2 linked regions of the Notamacropus eugenii genome follow. The protein of the gene in region 1 interacts with the protein of each later gene in a biochemical or structural test. Links are inferred from orthologs where the notes say so. Each region holds a gene or a part of one and is shown on either strand. Other genes may lie near its edges. The genes, in order: RNF4 and UBE2W.

Region 1 (10,639 bases):
CAGGATGGAGCGCTGTTGGCAAAGTTCAGGATAGACCTTCAGGGAAACTGTTCTTTGAGACTCTGCTCATTATCATCCAGAATGGCTCTCCAGGCCCTCTCCCCCCCTCTTCCCCCCCATGTTGCTGTCTCCTTTAAATAACAAGAGAACTACAAAATACAAGGGATACATAAAATAGATGCCCTCTAGGCTAACAGTCTTTAAGACAATAAGACTGGCCTAATTACTAGGACGGAGTCGAGTAGAATGTTACATAGACTTACAGTTTCTGTCTATAAATACCCTGACCCTCGGATCAATAAAGGGAGTTGCCCTATCTTCTCTCGCCTGCCTGTGTCTTTTTTTTTCACTGCTGTCACCGAGCCACGTAGGGACGCAGGCCATCTGCCACACCTTATTATAAAGGGGGTAAGAGACAGGGAGTTATCCTGAGGCTACAAATCTGAGTGACAGAAATAGCTAAGTTTGGAAAAGGCTTTAGTAGGGACACAAATTCTGTTTTGGACATGTTGTGTCTGAGATGCCAGTGGAAATTCCAGATGGAGATGCCTGTAGGGGAATTGGAAAGGTAGGACTGAGTTTCAGGAGAGAGTTTATGACTGGATACATGTATACACACATATACACATATACATATATCTATACATTATATATACATATATGTAATGGAAACTAATCAGGAGAATCACCTGAGATTTGTTGGACTTTGGGCCACCTCTAGTAAACCATATTTATTTTAGCTCCAGGTTGAAGGATGTGGCATTTGGGATGACACAGCAAGTCCTAAATGGTCTTCTGGTCCCCCATGATGGGGGTGGGGGGGAAGAGTGCCAGCTAAGTTTAAAAGGAGAGATTGCTTTCACTTTCTCTCAACTCTTCTTTTTTTTCTCCAGTAGGAACATGAAATTTCCTCCCTGGGATTTGGGGTTAAAAGCCATCATTCACACATGGCAGTGAACACATGTGATGCCCAGATGAGCCTGAGTTAGACCCTCTTTCTTTTTCTGATCATAGGTGACCAAGCAGTGATCATGAGAGCAGGACTTTTGCTGAGTGTATCTACCTTAAGAATTTGGGAACTCCTAGTTTCCATAGTCAATACTGTTAGAGAAGCCTCTTGAAGCAAGGATGGTGCTTCTTGGAGGAGAGATGACTGGCAAGATGAACTAAAGACTTGACCTGGCTTGCCAGAAGCAGTGGACCTGGAAGGAAATGTATAACAGTGCAGAGCTGAGGTGAGGGTGAAATACCCACCTGACAATCCCACAGTATGTTCCTTGCTTTAATGTTTTAAGTATCAGCCTCCCAGAAGAGTTATATTATTGCTTCAAATTTGTCAGTGAGTGCTGGTCTTTTTTTAAGTGTGCGTGTGCTTGCATGCAGTTGTTCTATGCATGATCTATGTTGCACATTGAGTACTTTTCTATGCCCTTTTAAGGAGACCCTGAACATTATCCAACCTCAGCTTTAAGTGATTTTCCCTGAGACTCAAGGGTTTGAGTATAAAGAGCCAGAAAGTTTGAGAAAAAGATCCTGACCTCTCTTTTTAGGGAATGAGGAACCCTCAGGACTAAACCAGGTTTGTACATGTAGAACAATTGCTAGGGATTCCTTTAGAGAGGGAGGGCAAGCAGCTCAGCCCTGCTGAGCTCAGCATGTTGTTACCTGTTTGTATATATGTTTAAGTCATCTGAGTAAGTTGATATTTGAACACATTTGAGTGAATGAGATTGGCAAGGGAGAAAGTGTAGAAAGAAAAATTGACATAAGACAGAGCCCTAAACCTAATGAGGTAGAAAATGCTACACAGTTCAGCAAAGGAGATTGCTGAGGGTGACCAAACAGGTAGAAGGAGAACCAGGAGAGAAGTCGAGGGAATGAAGCGTATCTAGGAGAGGATGATGAAAAGTGCAAAAATCTTCAGAGGTCAAGTAAGGAGAAGCTAGAAAAGGGCATCAGACTTAGCAATGATTTTGGGGAAAAGGGATAGAGCAAAGAGCCACATTGTGAGGGGTTGAAAAGTAAATGGATGGTGAAAAGTGGAGGCAGTGAATGTAAATATGTCTATTTAGGAGTTTGGTGTTCATGGGGAGAAGTGTATGATAATAGCCTGAGGAAATGGCAAGATTAAGTGAAGGTTGTTATCAATGGAGAGCTGTGTATGTTTGAGGGTAGCAAAAAGGGAGAGATTGAAGAGAGACAGATAGAAAGAGACAGAGACAGAGAGAGAGGAGGGAAAGGAAGAGATTGAAAGAAGAACAGGGAGGAAGGAGGAGGGAGAGAGACAGGAAATAAAGGCATTCTCAAGGAGAGGGGAAGAGATGGTATATCAAGGGTTCAAGTAAAGCTTTTGGTCTTAGCAAGGAGAAAAAGGCTGTCTTATTAGAGACTAGGCAGAAGAAGAGAAAGCAGGTGAAAACTTCAGAAATTTTGAGGAAGATGAGCCATCGTAAGGTCTTTTCCAGCTTTCACATTCTACGATCTTGGTATTAGGTGTTGACAGAGACTATACAGTGTGATGGGGGGATGTGCAAAGTTGAAATTGGCAGAAAGGTCAACTAGGATGAACACTTAGGAAAAGGTGTTGAGATTTCATCAGTAAGTTTGGAGAAAACAGTTTCTTTCAAGCTAGATTGCGAGAGGCTAGAAAATGGGAGGTGAAGAAGTAGAGGCCATCAATATAGACTCTTTTCCTAGAAGGCTGGCTGTGAAAGGAAGAAGAGATTTGAGGGGACTGCAGGGTCAAAGGAAGGTTTTTGGTTTTTTTTTTTAATAATGGGGAGATGTAGAAATTTGTAGGCAGTAGAGAAGGAGAGCCTGAAGATCAGAGACAAAAAGGAAATATAGTTAACCCTTTCAAATCACAGAGGGTAGGGACATGGGCCCCCCATAGTCCAGAAATCCACTTAAATATTTTTTGGCCCTCCTTTGGTACCAGAGAATTATTACAATATTAAAAGACAAAATATGGTGATATTATACAATGCTGTACATATGTTTTATGCATTTCTAAGTTTCTAAACGTTTTCTGTGTCATCTGCTGTCCTCATGTTGTCTGCAAAATTTCCAAAAAATTCCCATTGAATTTCTTATGCAGACAAGCAATGGGGAAAGTCTAGATATGGAAGAGAAAATAGTCCAAGACCTACCTGAGGCAAAAGGAGAATGTTTGACCATTTATAGGCTCAGGTTAGAATCATTTGTATTTTGTCAGATCAAATAAAAATTGTTCTATATTGTTTGATATTTTTAATCTGAGTACTTATATGGAAGGTGAAGGCCCATTTAGACATGAGACAAACATTCCCTGGGAAAATACTGGGCAGGAACAAAATGAACCAAATTCTGATATTCCTAAGGGAAACCTTACATGGAGGTTTAAGTCAAATAAATAGTTACTGGAATCCTCTAGAACATAATCTTGAGATCCAGAGCCTCAGGTTCTAGCCATGGATCATACTATATTTCTTTTGGCAATATAGTTACTGCCCACGTCAATCATCAGAAGCCAGTAGTAGTCATAAGGCCGTGACAAGTCATTAGTGGTTGGTTCTTTGTCATGTACCAGATATACACTCAAGGAAGACAGCAAACCTCACTCTAGTTATTGTCAAGTTCACAAATTGCTGTTTCAGTACAACAGGGAGTCCGGCTACTCATACTTACCACTTCTTCCTTTGACCCTAGATGGATGATCTTTCATTTGGTGGTACCTGCATATTCACATCATTCATTTTTTCATTCTTTTAGAAGGAAATCTCAAAGACTTGCTCATTTTAGAGATGAGGAATTTGAAGCACACAGAAGAGACTAGTGGTGTGTGGGTGTGTGTTTTTGTGTGTGTGTGTGTGTGTGTGTGTGTGTGTGTGTGTATGGGTATGTGTGTGTGAGTGTGTGTGAGTGTGTGTGTGTGTGTGTGTACTGGATCTCCTTATCTCACCTAGACTGGAAGTGTAGCAGCTACTCTTGGACCTGATACCACTACTGGGACAAAGTACAGAAGCTTTGACTTTCTCCATTTCTGATATAAGTTGGTTTGCCACCACTCCCACCCCACCCCAGGGCAGCCTGGTGACCCACTGCTCCAGAAAGCTCCCAATATTGGTGCCAGACTTAGTGTGTACACTTCAATCGGCTTAACCCTACTGCAGTTCAGAACTCCTGAGCTCAAGCAATCCATCCGCCTCAGCCTCCTCTGGTAGCATGGATTATAGGTGTGTACCATCACACCCAGACCTCCTGTTCTTTTCATCACATTCTACTTCCATTCAAAATCACATTTACCAGCTTACCCATCTCAGTTCCCAGAAATCTTCTGTTCCAAAAGGGTAGCAGGGTAGACATATGTTTACATCCTTTCTGAAAGCAATTTCTCAGGGTTGCTATATCTATCTCCTGCACACACATGGACTTGTCAGTGGATAAGTGTAACACATGGTCTATAAATATCTTCCGATGGCTTTTACAGAGACAATCTAGGTGACTGTACTAGGCCCCATGATTTGGGGGTGAGAGTCGGCTCACTGCTGGTATTGGGTTTGGGTAATGACTCAGAGAGGCAGCTTGGAGGAGAGAAAAGGATGGCTCCATGTCTGGCACTGAGCAAAAGATGTAAGGCTCATATAGAGGCTCAGCCTCTTCTTCCTCCAAAAGGTCATCTCCTTAAGGAGACTGTGGTTTTTTCCCTTCAAAGTTACCTTTGACAGTCATTTTAAGGTAGTTTCACCTATACAGAAATATTAGGAAGACAGGTACTAAGCCCTCTTTACTTCTCTCTCTACAATCTTTCCCCTGACAACGTCATTTACCCCTATGGCCTCAACTACAACCTCTATGCAGATACCTCCCAATTCTTTATCTTCAGGCTAGTCTTCATTCCGCTCTGGATTCCATTCTTGATTCCCCAGACATTTCCCCATCATGCGACAGCAGCCTTCTCACTCTGGAAATTCATTCTGCCTCTGTAGTCTCCTCACTTCATCCTGTAAGCTCACTCTTACCCCTGGCCTTCTCACAATGCAAATATACCCCACCCCTGCAGCTCTTTCCTCTGATTGGTTGGTTTCTCCCATAGCCTCCCTTTTAAGAAAAATGCCCAGGTCACTCATATACCTCTTCATTCTCCTCTGGGCTCCATTCCAGAATTTTCAGACTTTCTCCATCGTGTCCCCATCAAGTACCTTGGTATTTTATGTATTATCTTTTCCCATCTTAGGTCCTTGAAGGCAAGGATTGACTTTCTTTCTGCTTGTTTTTGTATTCCCAGGATTTTAGCACAGTGTTTGGCACATAATAAGTACTTAATAAATGCTTGTTGACTTGACTTGACCTCTTGCTAAATAACCTCCTGAATCCCCCACCCACCCCATTCCCAGCACATCAAATTCAACATGTCTCAACCAAGTTCCTCATTGTCCCCCCAATTTAATAAACATGTAGTACATGCCATGGACTGTGTCAGGCATCAGGTATTAATAGAAAGAAAAAAATGAGACAGCCCTTGACCTGTAGGAGCTTACATTCTATTAGAGGATATAATGTGCCCAGATAAGACAAAGTAATTGGAGGAAGAAGCATCTCCTCTTCTTTATGACTTCATTATTTCTGTCTGTGGTACCACCATTCACCAGGTCTCCCATGTTTGAAACCTTAGTAGAGTATGGGACTTTTCCTTTTCTCCAGTCCCCTATCTCGAAGCAGTTGTCAGGCCCTATTGCTTCCTCCTCTACAGTATCCATCCCATCATCACTTTCCCCACAGCCACAAGTACTCACTTATCCCTACCTGCTGGGACCTTTGCAATAGCCTCCTACAAAGTCTTCTTATTTCCACAATCTTCCCACTCCAATCTCACCTTCTTAGAGCTTTCAGACTAGTCTTCCTTATGCATAGATCCAGTTATGTTGCCCACCAAGCTCCAGACTCTTCAACGTTTGCCTGGTATCTACTGAGTCAAATTCAGATTCCTTAGCTTGGCGTCCAAAATCCTCCATGACCTAGCACAAACCTAACTTTCCAACTTTATCTCACATGACTCAACTCTACACACAGTCTTTGCTCTACTCAAACTATTTATTCATGCAAACTGTCTTCTAGACATACTTTGTGCGTTTTCTGTGCCTGTGTTTTTGTTCTCTATGCCTACAATCCTCGCTTTCTGCCTGATGTCACCACGTTCTTCAAGGCCCAACTCATGGCATTTCCCCTAGGAAGCCTTTTCTACTCTCTTTTTGGTGATAGTCTCTTCCCTACTGAGCTCATACAGGATGTTGTGGCACCACAGTAATGCACTCATCATAAAATGATACATTTTGAGCTAGGGAGACCATCATTTTAGGAAAGGGCCCTGTCATGCTCATGCCTCTCTCACGTCTGAAATCTCTTTGAAATTTTCCTCTTCTCCTGCATCATTGCTTCCTCTCCGCTTTCCAACTCCTCTGTCTTCCCTCATTAGCATCTAAACTTCTTGAGTCTAAGACCTCTTGTTTGCTTGCATTTTTCTCTGTGGATCTTAGTACAGAGCCTGGCATATGCTTTGCCTATCTATCTTATATTAGATCACTTAGACCAACGACTTTTTACAGGGTCATTAGATCATACAGGAAATAGCGTGCTGAGCCTGGCATCAGAAAGAACTGAGTTCAAATCTGGAAACAGACACTTATTAGCTGTGTAGCTATAGGCAAGTCATTTAATCTCTGTTTGCCTCAGTTTCCTCAACTATAAAATGGAAATAATAATTGCACCTGCCTCTCAGAGTTGTTGTGAGGATCAAATGAGATAGTATTTGAAAAGTACTTAGCATAGTGCGTGGCACAGAGTAGGCACTATATAAGTGCTTACTATTAATTATTATTAGATGTGGAAACTGAGTCCAGGAGAGGTTTTGTGATTTGCCCAGGATCTCATGGCAGAATTTGAGCCCAGGTGTTCTAAACTCCAAATCCAACACATTTCTACTGAGGAAACTATCTTTTATTTAGTGTTTTTTTGTGCCATTGTTTTTGATGCTTATATTTCATTCCCCTATTAAACTAAGGCCTATGCAGATAGGGACTATATCTCATCTAAAATTTGTATTTTCCTCCTTCCAGAACAGCATTCTGCACACAGCAGGTCTTTGAATGTTTGTTGAATTGAAATTTACTAACCTCAAGCCTTCAAGATATTAATACTGACCTAGTGGAGACATAAGCTCACCAACTGAAGAGGGAGAGTCAAGCAAAGAGTTTGATGTAGTTCATAGGATCCTGAGAGTTGGAACTGGAAGGACCCATAGGGAACACTGAGTTCAACTTTCTCATTTTACAGATGAGGAAAGTAAGTCCTTGAGCTGGGAAGGAATCTGCTCAGGATCACACAGCTAGTGGGTAGCAGAGTCAAAATTTGAACTGTTGATTCACTCATCCTGAAACTGGAAACCCAGAGGGCAGAGCCAAGATGGCAGAGTAAAGACAATGACTCACCTGAGTTCTCCCAAATTCCCATCCAAAGAACTTTAAAATAATGCCTCAAAATGCTCCATAAAAGGACGTGAAACAATTTTCTAGCTCAAGGCCACTTAGAAGGACTGCAGTTGTGGAAAAGCAAGCACCTCGACATATCACAGAAGCTCCTGCTGTCCAGATTCATAGATCTGCTTTTCTAAAAGGAAAGCAACTTTTGAGGAGTCAACAATCACTTTAATCAAGCACATTTTCAGGGGAAAAAGTAAACACCCTGAACTTCAGAGAAACAAAGATCAGCCAACAGGCAGGGCTTCCAAGCAATACATGCATCACAGATTAACAGACAGATCCAACTGTCTGACCATACATACATACCAGAGGGAGAAAAAGCCAGGGGGCTCCTTAGCAGCTGCCCAGAGTCTCCTCTGACCAAATAAACACTTCCAAAGAGTAAACCTCAAAATAAAATCTCTCCTTAGAGTATTTATATACTTTTCAGAGCCGGAGGTCATCACAACCCTTGAGAACCCAGTGCCTCATTAGAAATTAAGAAAGGGTATGATCCTCTCCTAATCAAGCTTCCCTTAACATGTAGGCCCATCAATGGGCAGGGAAGATCTTTAACTCTCATTAGCATTACAAGGTGTTGCACTAAGTGAGAGTGGAACACAATCCAGTACAGGCAATGTCCTAGCAAACTAGCAGGAGGTCTTGGAGGGGACCCATGGAATTGGCAGGGGTAAATTCCAGAACTCTTAGCCTATAGATGGTAAGGGAGTTAGACAACTGGTCAAAAGGAGATTACAGAGGTTCTGTTATTAGCACTAGGTACAAGACTCTGTTGCACTGCCCATATGTGGATCTAGGTTGCAGTCCTTGGTTATAGTCCCAGGGCAAGAAAGAGCACTAGCACATTAGAGCTTAGGGCTGTAAAGGAGTGGGGGCTCCAATTACAGTTCCAAGGCAGAAAAGAGTGTCTGTGGTCACTAATAGACCAGAGCACAGGCCATGAGAGCAGTGAACATGCTTCTCCTTAGGCCATACCACCTTGGAAGAACTGAAAATTTACAGACCTTCAGAACTAGCTCTGAAATCAGCTGCACCAAAACAAACAACAACAACAAAAAAAACCAACCCAGAATCTTGGGGCAGTGCTCCCTGAACTCTAGGAGCAGAGCCCAACTTTCACATAGAGTTAAAAGTCAATAAATAGTCTAGAAAATGAGCAAACAACAGAAAAAGAACCTGATCATAGGATGCTACTATGGTGTCAGGGAAGATCAAAATGCAAACTTAGAAGAAGACAACAAAGTGAAAACTGCTACGTCCAAAGTCTCAAAGGAAAATAAGAATTGGTCTCAAACTCAAAAAGAATTCTTGGAAGAGCTCAAAAGAATTTCAAAAAGGAAAAATTAGGAAAAAAATTAGTGTGATGCAAGAAAATCATGAAAAAAGATCAATAGCTTGGTAAAGGAGGTACAAAAAATACTGAAGAAAATAACACATGAAAAAACAGAATAGATCAAATGGTAAAAGAGGCACAAAAATTCACTAAGGAAAAGAACTACTTACAAAACAGAATCAGCCAAATGGAAAAAAGATATACAAAAATTCCCTAAAGGAAAGAATTCCTTAAAAAGTAGAATTGTCAAATAAAAAGGGAAGTACAAAAGTTCACTGAGGAAACTAATTCCTTAACAGTTAGAACTGGGCAAAAGGAAACTAATGACTACATGAGACATCAAGAAACAATAAAACAAAATCAAAAGAATGAAAAAATACAAGAAAATATGGAATATCTCATTGGAAAAACAACTGATTGAGGAGAGACAATTTAAGAATTATTGGAGTACCTGAAAGTCAAAAAAGAACACAGACATCATCATTCAAGATTGTCAAGGAGAACTGCCCTGGTATTCTAGAACCAGAGAATAAAATAGAAATCAAAAGAACAGACTTATCGCCTCCTGAAAGACATCCCAAAATGAAAACTCCCAGGAATATTACAGACAAATTGTAGAGCTTTCAAGTGAAAGAGAAAATATTTCAAGCAGCAGAAAGACAATTTAAATATGTTGGAACTACAGTCAAGATAACATAAGATTTAGCATCTTCTACATTTAGGGATGAGAGGACTTCCAATATAATATTCCAGAGAGCAAAGGAGCTAGAATTACAACCAAGAATCACCTACCCAGCAAAACTGAGTATAATCCTTCAGGAGAAAAAAAAATGTATATTCAATGAAATAGAACACTTTCAAGAATTCCTGATGAAAACAACAGAGCTGAATAGAAAATTTGACTTTCAAAGACAAGACTCAAGAGAAGCATAAGAAGGCACACAGGAAAGAGGAATCATAAGGAATTCAATAAGGTTAAACTGTTTACATCCCTCCATGGGAAGATGGTACTTATAACTCCTAAGTGCTTTCTCATTATTAGGGCATTTAGAAGGAGTGTGCATAAACAGAAAGCATAGGTGTGAATTGACTATGATAGGATGGCATTTAAAAAAATAAAATTAAGGAGTGAGAAAGAGGAGTGCACTGGAAGAAGAAGGAAGGGAGAGGTAGAATGGGGCAAATTGTCTTACATAAAAGAGACACTAAAGAGCTTTTAAAATGGAGGAGAAGATGAGGTGGGGGATGGGCAATGCTTCAACCTTACTCTCATCAGAATTGGCTCAAAGAAGGAATAACATTCAATTGGTTATCATCTATCATACAGGAAAGTAGAAGGGGAAGGAGATAAGAGAAGGTAGGGGCTGATTAAAAGGAGAGAGTCAGAAGCAAAACACTTTTGAGGATGGACAGGTTGTAAGGAGAGAGTACAATAAAGAGGGGAAAAATGTGATGGGGGAAATATACGGTAATCATAACTGTGAAAATTTTTTCCAAGTTTCACTTTTAAAAGTCAAATTTTTAAGAATACAAGTTATTCACCAATTGATAAATGGTCTAAGGATATGAACAGGCAGTTTTCAGACAAAGAAATCAAAACTATCAATAGCCATGTGAAAAAATACTCTAAATAATTACTGATTAGAGAAATACAAATTAAAACAACTCTGGGGTACCACTTCACACCTATCAGATTGGCTAATATGACAGAAAAAGAAGATGACAAATGTTGGAGGGGTATAGGAAAACTGAGACACTAATGCATTGTTGAAAGAATTGTGACCTGATC
Region 2 (11,271 bases), on another chromosome or scaffold:
GTGCAAAACTTGGAGTCAAGCAGACCTGGATTCAAATCCTGCCAGACACCGTGTGACCCTAAGCAAGTCAATCTCAATTTCTGCATCTGTTAAATCTGTTTTCTAGGTTTGGTGACCTGAAAGGTCCCTTTCCAGTTCTAAATTATTGATCCTGAAAACTCTCAGGTTAGGAAACTCCTTACAGAAATGTGCCTTCTCTGTAATTTATAACCCTAGAAAGTTGCTTAAAAGGTTAGAGGAACTTGCCCAGGGTCACACAACCAGCGTGTGTCAGAGGCAGGGCGTAGTTGAAATATTCATGTTAATGTTTAAGTTCACTTTTTTTAAGACAAAAAAAATGAGGGAGGCATTGCTCCAAAAGGAACCACAAATAAGGAAGAAGTTTGAAAACTACTGCCTTAATAGAAAGCATAAAATGGGCTGTGATCAAGGGCCTTTCATGTTAGTTTGGGACACTGGAAAAGTCAGGCTTTCATTTCCATACGTGTAAAAATAAGTTAAGATTAGATGATCTCTAGTCCTTATCAGCTCTTCAATTGTTTAAATCTATGAATACTAATACAATATACATCTTGAGATTGCAAAATAAATTTTTCTTAAAAAATTCAGATTTCATCTTTAGGAAATACTACTCTAAAATAGTCTGTTTACCTTTGATTTTATTACATTGGTTCTAGAAACTAATTTTTTTCATGTCTATTTGTGTTTATGCCTCGTTATTTTAATATATATTTTATGTCAATTTACAAACCTGTAGAGGGCTTTACCCTCTTAATATTTAGTAGCAGCATTATGTCCAGATAATGACATTGTTCTTTAGATCAAGAAAATTAAAGAACCTGCTCATATCTCTTAAATGGTAAGACCATCAATCACAACCCAGCAAATGAAATATGCTTTGAGATATTGTTTACTTTTTCAGTAGATATTTTAGTCATCTAGGATAATGTATTACAAACTAATAAATTTTTTCAGGAAAAAAATCTAGTCACCAAGGACAACATGAAAATAGACTTGCATAATATCCAAGATATATTAGGAAATGACACAAATTCTAAGAGCTATTTCCCAATAGGTAAGAGGTCAAAGATGAACAGTTTTCAAAAGAATTGCAAATTATAAATAATCATTTGAAAATATTTCCCAAAATACTAATAGTAAGAGAAATATAAAATTACAATAGCTGAAATTACCTAACACCTTGCAAAATTGCAAAAAGAAAAAAAAACAGTCAACATTAATGGGGCTGTGGGAAGGCATGAACATTAATATTCTGTTGATGAAGATATAAAGGGAAAGGAATAAGTATTTATATAAGTACCTACTGTGTGCCAGACACTGTGCTGCGCACTGGACAAACAGCTCATTTGATCCTCACAATATTTTTGTAAGGTAAGACCCTGTTATTATTCCCACTTTACAGCTGAAGAAACTGAGGCAAAGAGACATTAAGAGACTTGCCCAAGATCACATAGCTAATAAGTGTGTGAGATGGAATTTGAACTCAGGTCTTCATGACTCCAGATCCACAGCTCTTTCCACTGTACAAATTAGGTGCCTTATCCATCAAATGGTTTGATAGCTCTGGTTATCAATTTGGAATTCTGAAAGAAAAGGGAACTTAACTGTCCATATTCTTTGACCTAATGATCCAGCAAAACATTCATAGTAGCACTCGTTATAGTAGAAAAAAAAAGTAAACAATGATATAGATTCCATTGACTGGGAAACGGTTGGGAAAAAAAACCAATTATGCTGTATGAATATTATGCATCCGGAAAAAAGAGATTTATATGACCTTGGAGCACAAAATAAACAGAACCAAAGAGTAACATATCTCATGACTACAACTATAGAAATGAAAAGATCATTTAAAGGAAGTTGAATTGAGTACAGTTAACTGGAAAAAAAATGAAGGATCCAAAGAATATATAATGAAATATAGTTCCCTCCTCACAGAAGCAGGGAAATGATACTAGGCTAGAGTATTGTATTGTAAGATATAGTTATTGTATCAGATGTTATTTTCTAATTGTTTTAATTTGTTATAAGGGAGGGCCTCAATCTGAAAGGATTTCTATACTCTAATCATCCCATCTTCCCTTTTAAGAAATGACCAATGTAAAAGACAAAAAAACATGAATAAAATCATCTTCCAAAATAGTCTTGTAGACTTAAATTTCAAGGTTTTTCTATCATTCAAGAGACTTGACTTTTCTTTATGATCAAAAGCAAAGAAAGTGTTAAGGCTTGCACATCAGAGAGTGTATACCAACATTTTAGAATTTCAAATGCAGGGGATAACTTTAGTGTTAGAGATTCCAGAATAAAATTTCAAATATATTTCTAATTAACAAAAACAAAACCAGTTTTCTTCCCCAGTTAGCTAGTCTAAAGTCACTAAAAGCTTTAGGACAAAGAGTGATGCTTGGAACACAAAACATGCATACACATACACATATACATATACATACTGTGTGGACTACATTTTTCATACTGCCTCTGTCTGTCAAACTCTAAGTTGATAAAAATTGAGTTCTGTCCCAACTTGGTTTCTGCTCACAATTCAAATTTCCCTTCTCATTTTCAAAAAAAAAAAAAAACCAGTTATAATCTTGTCTTTCAGAACCTCAGATCTAATTTTACTCTTAATATTTTGCTGCAAGTCACTATCACTGTAATACACTCTACCAAATAATCCCATATGATAGTTTTTCCCCCACAATAAAGGTTATTTGAACATTTAGTTCAAATTCTATTTAACATAGGGTTTCTCCCTACATTTCTCCTTCTGAGTCTTAAATGATAGATGGACTTTCCATCGATCCTCCGTGATCAAACTCTCCTGAGTACTTAATACTCCGAATTTTTTCCACATATTGAACTGACACTTTCCCCTCAAATTAATTTAATTACATCTTTCCTTGTATTTCTTCAACAAAAATAAATATATAACCTTTTGTGTGTTGCATGAAAGAGTAGGGAAGGAAAGGCAAGAGAAAAAGCACAGAGAATAATAAAAGGAGAATGAGGTAAATGGGAACAAAGATGGTGTGTGCACAAAAGGGGAAGGATGCAGAAAAGGGAAGAGGAGAAAAGGAAGATCGTGTTGTCACAGCTTACAAAGAGAAAAAGCTGGGAGGAGTTTACATTTTTCAGAAGCCAAAAAACAAAAGAGCTATTTTTAACGGCGTGAAGCAAAATGAAGCAGTTTTGTTCCCTGAAGAGTTAAGTCCTTAAGCTCCAAAAATCCTGAGCTGACAGCTCACACCTCGGACTTAGTTTCTCTTCCAAGCAACTAACATTTTCGTAATTCTAGTCACCTTTGAATGAACACATGTGCCATCCATTTCAACGAACTAGAACACTGCCATCTGTCCAGGCAGTCTTCGGACGGTACAGTATCGATAAGGGTCTCTAACTCCTCATCGAAAACTCCAGTGGAAATGACATTAATAAACTCCCACTAAAAAGCGTTTCGCTAAAATGTTTGGAGAAAGGAAAGCAGAGGACGGTAAAACTGCGACCAAGGTTAAAAGTAGGGTACTTAGTTCTGGGGGCCGGGGGGATTACACATCGGGTGAGGAAGCAGCAGAGGAGCCGGTACGTGAAAGTTTCGGGGAGACCCAGACTGGAGCATTATTGGGTGAGACTTTAAACAGTGGGAGGATGTCCTACATAAGGTACGGGGCAGGGGAGAGCCAGAGGCGAAGGCTGCCGGTCAAGGGAGTGACTGTAGCTACAAGGAGCACTGGATTCAAGGGCGAAGGGGAAGGTATTTTACTCATAGAGGTGGGGAGCAGAGGCAGCGGGAGAAGAAGGGAAGGAAGGCGGCCAAAGGAAGAGCCTCGGAGGCCCGGCCGGAGCCGCCGTCCCCGGGGACCGACCTCGGGGTCTCTCGGTCTCTCCCACTTGACACAGATCCTCCCTCTCACTCCGGTCTGGACGCCGAGGCGGTCACGAAGCCCACGGGGAAAACAGCTGTTTCCTTTCGGGACAGGGAGAAGGGCAAGCAGGGGAACCTGGGCCGTGAAGGCAGAGGGGAGCGGCCGGGGGGCCACGGCTCGGGCCAACCCAGCCCTCCGCACCCTTCCCCCCACCATTCCCCCAACTTCTCCGGCTCCGGGGTCGGCTAGGGCGGGCCGGTGGTACCCCGCCTTCCCCGCGGCCGCCGGGGGCGAGGAGAGGCGGAGCCGGCCCGGCGCCGCAGACCCCGGCAGGCTCGCAGCCCTCCGCTCCCGCGGCCGCCGCCGCCGCCCTCAGCCAATCCCACAACCTCACCCCTCCTCAGCCGGGCGTTCGGATGCCGCAAACTCCTCTCACCTGCATGGACGCCATGATGGAACCATCCCCCCTGCCCGGCGCAGCCAGAGACGCAGGAGGAGGAGCCGCCGTGCTCGCGTCACGCCGCGGGATCCCAGGATCCGGGCTTGGGGGCGGGGGGTCGGAGACCGCAGGAGAAGGGAGAGCGAGATCCGGATTGGCCGCTGGGCCCACGAGCCGCGAGAGGGGGCGGGCCTAGGTGGGGGCGGGGCGGGAGCCCCGCAGGTGCTCACAGTTCCCTCTCCTCCTTCTCGGTCCTCTCCCCCCACCCCCCAGCCATCCCGGCCCAACGTCCGAGGCGGCCCCGCCCAGAAGCACCCGGGAAAGAATGAGGGAGGGGGAGGGGGAGGACAAGAGAAAGCGGGGGAAGGAGTTTAGTGCCAGGGCCCGGGAGGGCTCCGAGGCGAGATGCGGGGAGCCGGCTGGCCTCGGTCCGGGGATTAGCTCCTTCTGGTCCCCGCGTTCTGGACCATTCGTTTCCTCCTGACTTTCACAGTCTCGCGGCCCCCGCCCCCGGGACCCTGCCTTAGTGTGGAGCTAGCCCCGGAGGTCTCCACGTCCCCGCGGGGCGGTAGGACGAGGGGTAATCAGCGGAACCGGTCCGCCGAGATGAGCTGGGATGTGCCCGAGGACGTGCCTGCAGAGGCGGTGGGTCCGGCCCGCCCCGCGCTCGGGGAGCGCTGCTGCCGGGGCGGCCGCGGGGTCAAGCGCCGGGAGGACGGAGAAACGCCGACAAGCCCCCGGAGCCGCCCCGACCCGCCGGGCGCGGGCCTCGGAATCCTGCCGCTCCCCGGGCGGAGGCATTCCGAACTCACTGCACATCCGTGCTGGTGACTGTCCTCCGAAGTGTAGACTTTGCAAGTGCTGGCACCATTGCTGCCTTTAAATAGAGGACAGAGTCGGCGCTGGAGAGAGGTGGGGAGCGGTGTGTGAATGACTCTGAATATGTGGATCTATTTTGTTTTTTACTGTAATTTCTGTTACACATACGAACCTGTCTGAACTTCGGACGTCTGGGGATGGGGGTGCGGGAGGCGTACAATCCACAAGATCTCCCTGAACATTCGAGATCTGGAGGATGAAAAATGCTCTGTAAGAAGCAAACCTTCACCCAGGAAAAAACTTCAGACTGTCATCCGTGAAAGCAGCACGTGTATGTGAACCACCTAGGTAATGCTGTGCAAAGCAGACGCGAGTACTTCAGATTTAAAAGTATTCTAAAGTTAGAACGGTGTCTTTTACTTCTTATATTTGTCTTTATTTTGAAAAAAAATAAAAAACTTCCCATGAAATTTCAAAAGTGACTTTGAAGAAGAAGGAGTTGGAAAATATACTAATTATTCTTCATTAACGTATAGGATTTGTGATTGTTCATATTCAAGGGGGACATCTCCAAATCTTATGAAACTACATGGTTTTGATGTCAAAATATATATTCTCAGCTACAGCAGCGCTTGCTTTTACTTGCTAACTTCCCTGACCGCGTAGATTAGAGAAACTGGTTGGTTTTCTCTGTCGGAGAAAAATTAGTCAATTTTATCAACAATAGTCCGGAAGGCATGTAGTCTAAGCTGTGAAAAGACAGTTTTGTCCGGTCAAAATTACTACACTGAGAGGGAAGAAATATTCAATATTAAAAAAAAGAAGAAGAAGCTTAACAATTAGAGCTGAACTGTCAAACATGAATACCTAGACAGATCTAGCACTTTTTAAGGCAAAAATACTTGATGATCCTATGTTCACAAAAAAGGGTAATGCCTTTGTTAATGCCTTGACCCCAAACCTTATGGATGTCAATAAGGAAGAGACATTTTTCAAGAATCTGGACAAAATCATAATATCACTATCAAATCTGAAGTTGTTGGTCATATGAATTTCAATGTATTTGTTAGCAGGGATGCTAAATGCGATGGAGAAGTCATTGGAGAAATCAGAAAACTATAGAACCACAGAATTTTCTAGCTGGAAAGGTCCTTAGAGATAATTTAGTTAACTTATTTAATTCTTTAGGCCAACAAGGTGTCAGTAGTTAGAGTGCAGGGCCTGGAATCAGAAAGACTCTTCTTTTTGAGTTCAAATCTGGCCTTCACACACTTACTAGTTGTGTAACTATGGGCAAGTCTCTTAAACCTGTTTGCCTCAGTTTCCTCATCCATAAAATGATTTGAAGAAGGAAATGACAAACCACTCCAGTATCTCAGCCAAGAAAATCCCAAATGGGGTCACAAAGAGTCAAACATAACTGAAAACAACTCAACATTTAATTCTTTAGATGAACAGCATAGCAAGTACCAGCCACATGTTTCATTTATGACTTGAAATCTAAGGAACTGACAAGACCAAATGATCTAGTTAGATATTCAAAATACATTCAGAGTCATATATTATATATATGTATATATGTCATATAATATATGGTGCAGTGGATAGCGCACCAGTGCAGGAATCAGGAGGACCAGAGTTCAAATCTCACCTGAGACACTTGATACTCACTAACTGTGTGACCTTGGGCAAATCACTTAACCCCAATTGCCTCATCCTGGGTCATCTCCAGTCATCCTGATGAATATCTGGTCACTGGATTCAGATGACTGTAGAGGACAGGTGAGGCTGGTGACCTCACAGCCCTCCCTCACTCCAAACAAAGTCAAGTGCAAGTCATGTCATTATTTCTCTGATGGCCTAGTCTTCTTTGGCAATGAAGGATGAACACACACACAATATAAAGCCCCAGAATATTGATATAGGTAGCAAAGAATATTATGCCTTGGATTAACTAATGAAAAAAGCATTTGTTAAGTTAAATATTGTCATACTTTCTGCCAAGCACTGTGCTGAATGCTTGGGCTACAAATAGAAAAGAAAGACAGTCCCTGCTTTCAAAGAACTCACATTCTAACTGGGGAGACAATGTATAGAATTTACTTTCAGGACAGATGATCTTTAGAGTACAGTGGCAAAGCAGTCAGTAATACATCTTTAGTGTCATTTCCATTGATAAACCAAATCCATTTCTGATTTTGACCCTTTTTTTTCTGTTGCCAAGGATTTTAGTGGAGAGAACTTTCTTTTCTGGGGTTTCAGGAGTTTGGAAACAAGTAGACCACTCAATTTCCAAATTAAGCAATAGAATCCTACTGGATTAACTAATTGACTAAGTGCACTAAGGCCTCCTTTTGGTGATGTGAAGAACCCCTTATACAAGTACTAAAAATAGAATATAGTTTGTTGGACCTGAAATATTCATTCAGGAGAGGGCTGTTGTTGTTACCAACCTAAGAGCATCCCCATGGGGAATTTGAGGTACTTGGAGAATTGTGTTCATCAACTCATTGTGGATCTTCATTAAGTATCTGCACTTGAGACCTGTGTGCACCTGTCCCAGAACAAAGGAAAACAGAGAAAGCTGAAGTGTCTTATCCAAGGACACACAATGGTATTCGGTGGAATTTGAATTAGAACCCAGCTCTCTTTCATTCAACATTCATTCAGGAAACTTTCATTCAAAACAGACCTCCACCTTAACGATATCTCATAGTGCCAAGTGACAGCAAATAATTAATTACAAGCATCATCCTCGGCCAAACGCTATTGTACTCAAAAAACTTTGGTGGTTCTCTATTGTCTCTAAGTAAAATACAAACTCCTCTGATATTTTAAGCTCTTCATAATCATATTCTCAGAATATCTCTTATATGGGTCTCTACTCACACAGCCCCCATCTTGGTTCAGGCCCTCATCACCTTTCCCCTAGAATTCCTACAGTCTTTCCCTGCTCTAATTTATTCTTTGCTCAGGATTCAGTCATTTTTCTAAGGCATCCATCATGCCACACTCCATACCTAATAAACTCCAGTAGCTCCCTATTAGTTCTAGAATCAATTATAAAATCTCTTTGGCATTTAAAGAAAGTCCTTCATAACCCCTTCTTACCTTTTCATTCTTCTTATACTTTACTCCTCTCCATGTTAGTTTGACCCAGAAATACTAGCCTATTTACTATTTCTGGCACATGACCTTTCATATCCAGCTTCTGTTGGCGTGCTCTGGCCATACTCTCACCGCCAGTCCCATTCCCCCAGTGCTGCTTTTCCCGATCTCCTTCTTTTCAAATTCCTGGCTTCTTTTAAGACTCAGATCAAATACTACTTCTGCAAGAGGCCTTCCCCAGTATTTCCCTCCCTGACATTACCTACAAATCACAAACTCCTGAAGACAGGAACTGCTTTTGCCTTTCTCTCAATCCCCAATAGTTAGTCAGTGCCTGACATTGTAAGTTCTTAACAAATGCTTATGGACCTATTTTTTAAGACTTATTACTGCTATTCTCCTTATTGTGTTCCAACTGCTTTCATTCCACAATCATTTATTAAGATCCTGTAAGAGAAAAGTTTTAATCAACTATTAAAGGATGTAAGATGCAGCCACTGTTATCAGTGAATGTTGTGATGCCTAAAAGAAATAGAAAGAAGCAGGAGAAGAAGTTTGTTTTAATTTCTTGTTGTTTGGTCATGTCTGACTCTTTGTGACCCCATTTGGGGTTTTCTTGGCGAAGATATTGTAGTGGTTGGCCGTTTCCTTCTCCAGCTCATTTTATAGATGAAGAAACTGAAGCAAACACAGGGTTAAGTGACTTGCTTTGGGTCACACAGCTAATAAGTATCTGATGTCAGATTGGAACTCAGGAAGAGGAATCTTCCTGACTCCAGGCCCAGCAATCTATCCACTGTACCACCTAACTAAAGTATGATGCATGGAGGGGCGGAGCCAAGATGGCAGAGTAGAAAGACGCATATACACATAGCTCCGAACCCACAACCCACAGAACGGCTAGAGGGGAGTAACTCACGGCGAATTCTGCACCCAGAGGCCACGGAATATTGGAGCGAGGGAGATTTCTGTTCCGGAGAGACCTGCAAACCTCTCATGGGGGGTCCTTCGCGCTGTGGACTGGGCGCCGGGACTGGGAGCAGAGGACAGCCCTGCAGCGGCCGCGACACCGTGAGGAAAAGATCCGAGCGGGCTATGGGGACAGGATATCCAGCGGCGGCACAAGCCCCCCCACCCACAGGTGATGAGGGTCGGTGAGAGAGTCTCTTTGGCGGGTCGAGAGGGGAGTGGGGTGTCCCCATGGCTCGGGGCCCCCCCCCGGGAGATAGAAGCTGAGAGGTGGCTGCAGACAGGGGCTCCCCAAGGGGGCAGGAGCCTGAATCCATTGTGGAAGGTCTGTGCATAAACCCCCTGAGGGAACTGAGCCTGAGAGGTGGCCCTGCCCCGACCTGACCATCTGAACTTAATTCTCACACTGAATAGCAGCCCTGCCCCCGCCAAAGCCCTAAGGCAGGAAGCAGCATTTGAATCCCAGTCCCCAAACGCTGGCTGGGAGGACCAGGAGGTGAGGTGGGTGTGAGGAGAATATTCAGAGGTCAAGTCACTGGCTGGGGAGAATGCCCAGAAAAGGGAAAAGAAATAAAACTATTGATGGCTACTTTCTTGGAGATCAGACATTTCCTCCCTTCCTTTCTGATGAGGAAGAACAATGCTTACCATCAGGCAAAGACACAGAAATCAAGGCTTCTGTGTCCCAGCCCACCCAATGGGCTCAGGCCATGGAAGAACTCAAAAAGAATTTTGAAAATCAAGTTGGAGAGGTGGAGGAAAAACTGGGAAGAGAAATGAGAGGGATGAAAGAGAAGCATGAAAGGCAGATCAGCTCCCTGCTAAAGGAGAACCAAAAAAATGTTGAAGAAATTAACACCTTGAAAACTAGCCTAACTCAATTGGCAAAAGAGGTTCAAAAGGCCAATGAGGAGAAGAATGCTTTCAAAAGCAGAATTAGCCAAATGGAAAAGGAGATTCAAAAGCTCACTGAAGAAAATAGATCTTTCAAAACTGAAATGGTACAGATGGACGCTAAGGACTTTATGAGAAAGACAGATATCACAGAACATAGCGTGAAGATTCGAAAAATGGAAGATAATGTGAAATATCTTATTGGAAAAGCAACTGACCTGGAAAATAGAATCAGGAGAGACAATGTAAAAATTCTGGGACTACCTGAAAACCATGATCAAGAGAAGAGCCTAGACATCATCTTCCATGAAATTATCAAGGAAAACTGCCCTGAGATTCTAGAACCAGAGGGCAAAATAAATATTCAAGGAATCCGCAGAGCACCGCATGAAAGAGATCCAAAAAGAGAAACTCCTAGGAACATTGTGGCCAAATTCCAGAACTCCCAGGTGAAAGAGAAAATATTGCAAGCAGCTAGAAAGAAACAATTCAAGTATTGTGGAAATACAATCAGGATAACACAAGATCTAGCACCCTCTACATTAAGGGATCAAAGGGAATGGAATAGGATATTCCAGAAGTCAAAGGAACTAGGACTAAAACCAAGAATCACCTACCCGGCAAAACTGAGTATAATACTTCAGGAGAAAAAATGGTCTTTCAATGAAATAGAGGATTTTCAAATTTTCTTGACGAAAAGACCAGAGCTGAAAAGAAAATTTGACTTTCTAACACAAGAATGAAGAGAACCATGAAAAGGTGAACAGCAAAGAGAAGTCATAAGGGACTTACTAAAGTTGAGCTGTTTACATTCCTACATGGAAAGACAATATTTGTAACTCTTGAAACATTTCAGTATCTGGGTACTGGGTGGGAGTACACACACACACATGCACACACGCACACATACATAGAGACAGAGTGCACAGAGTGATTTGAAGAGGATGGGATCATATCTTAAAAAAAAAAATGAAATCAAGCAGTGAGAGAGAAATATTGGGAGGAGAAAGGGAGAAGTTGAATGGGGCAAATTATCTCTCATAAAAGAGGCAAGCAAAAGACTTATTAGTGGAGGGATAAAGAGGGGAGGCAAGAGAAAAACATGAGGTCTACTCTCATCACATTCCACAAAAGGAAAGAATAAAATGCACACTC

The links.
Region 2: the proteins of RNF4 (region 1) and UBE2W form a complex in vitro, tested with the Homo sapiens proteins (2 studies listed by BioGRID). The link is inferred for Notamacropus eugenii from reciprocal best matches to the Homo sapiens genes RNF4 and UBE2W.

What each region holds. Positions count from the first base shown.
Region 1 is NC_092877.1:52,190,675-52,201,313, reverse strand, and holds the start of RNF4 (E3 ubiquitin-protein ligase RNF4), read right to left. Parts: upstream 4,981-10,639; 5' UTR 4,877-4,980; coding exon 4,844-4,876; intron 1-4,843. UniProt on the Homo sapiens protein: E3 ubiquitin-protein ligase which binds polysumoylated chains covalently attached to proteins and mediates 'Lys-6'-, 'Lys-11'-, 'Lys-48'- and 'Lys-63'-linked polyubiquitination of those substrates and their subsequent targeting to the proteasome for degradation.
Region 2 is NC_092875.1:294,724,135-294,735,405, forward strand, and holds the start of UBE2W (ubiquitin-conjugating enzyme E2 W), read right to left. Parts: upstream 4,164-11,271; 5' UTR 4,104-4,163; coding exon 3,888-4,103; intron 1-3,887. UniProt on the Homo sapiens protein: Accepts ubiquitin from the E1 complex and catalyzes its covalent attachment to other proteins.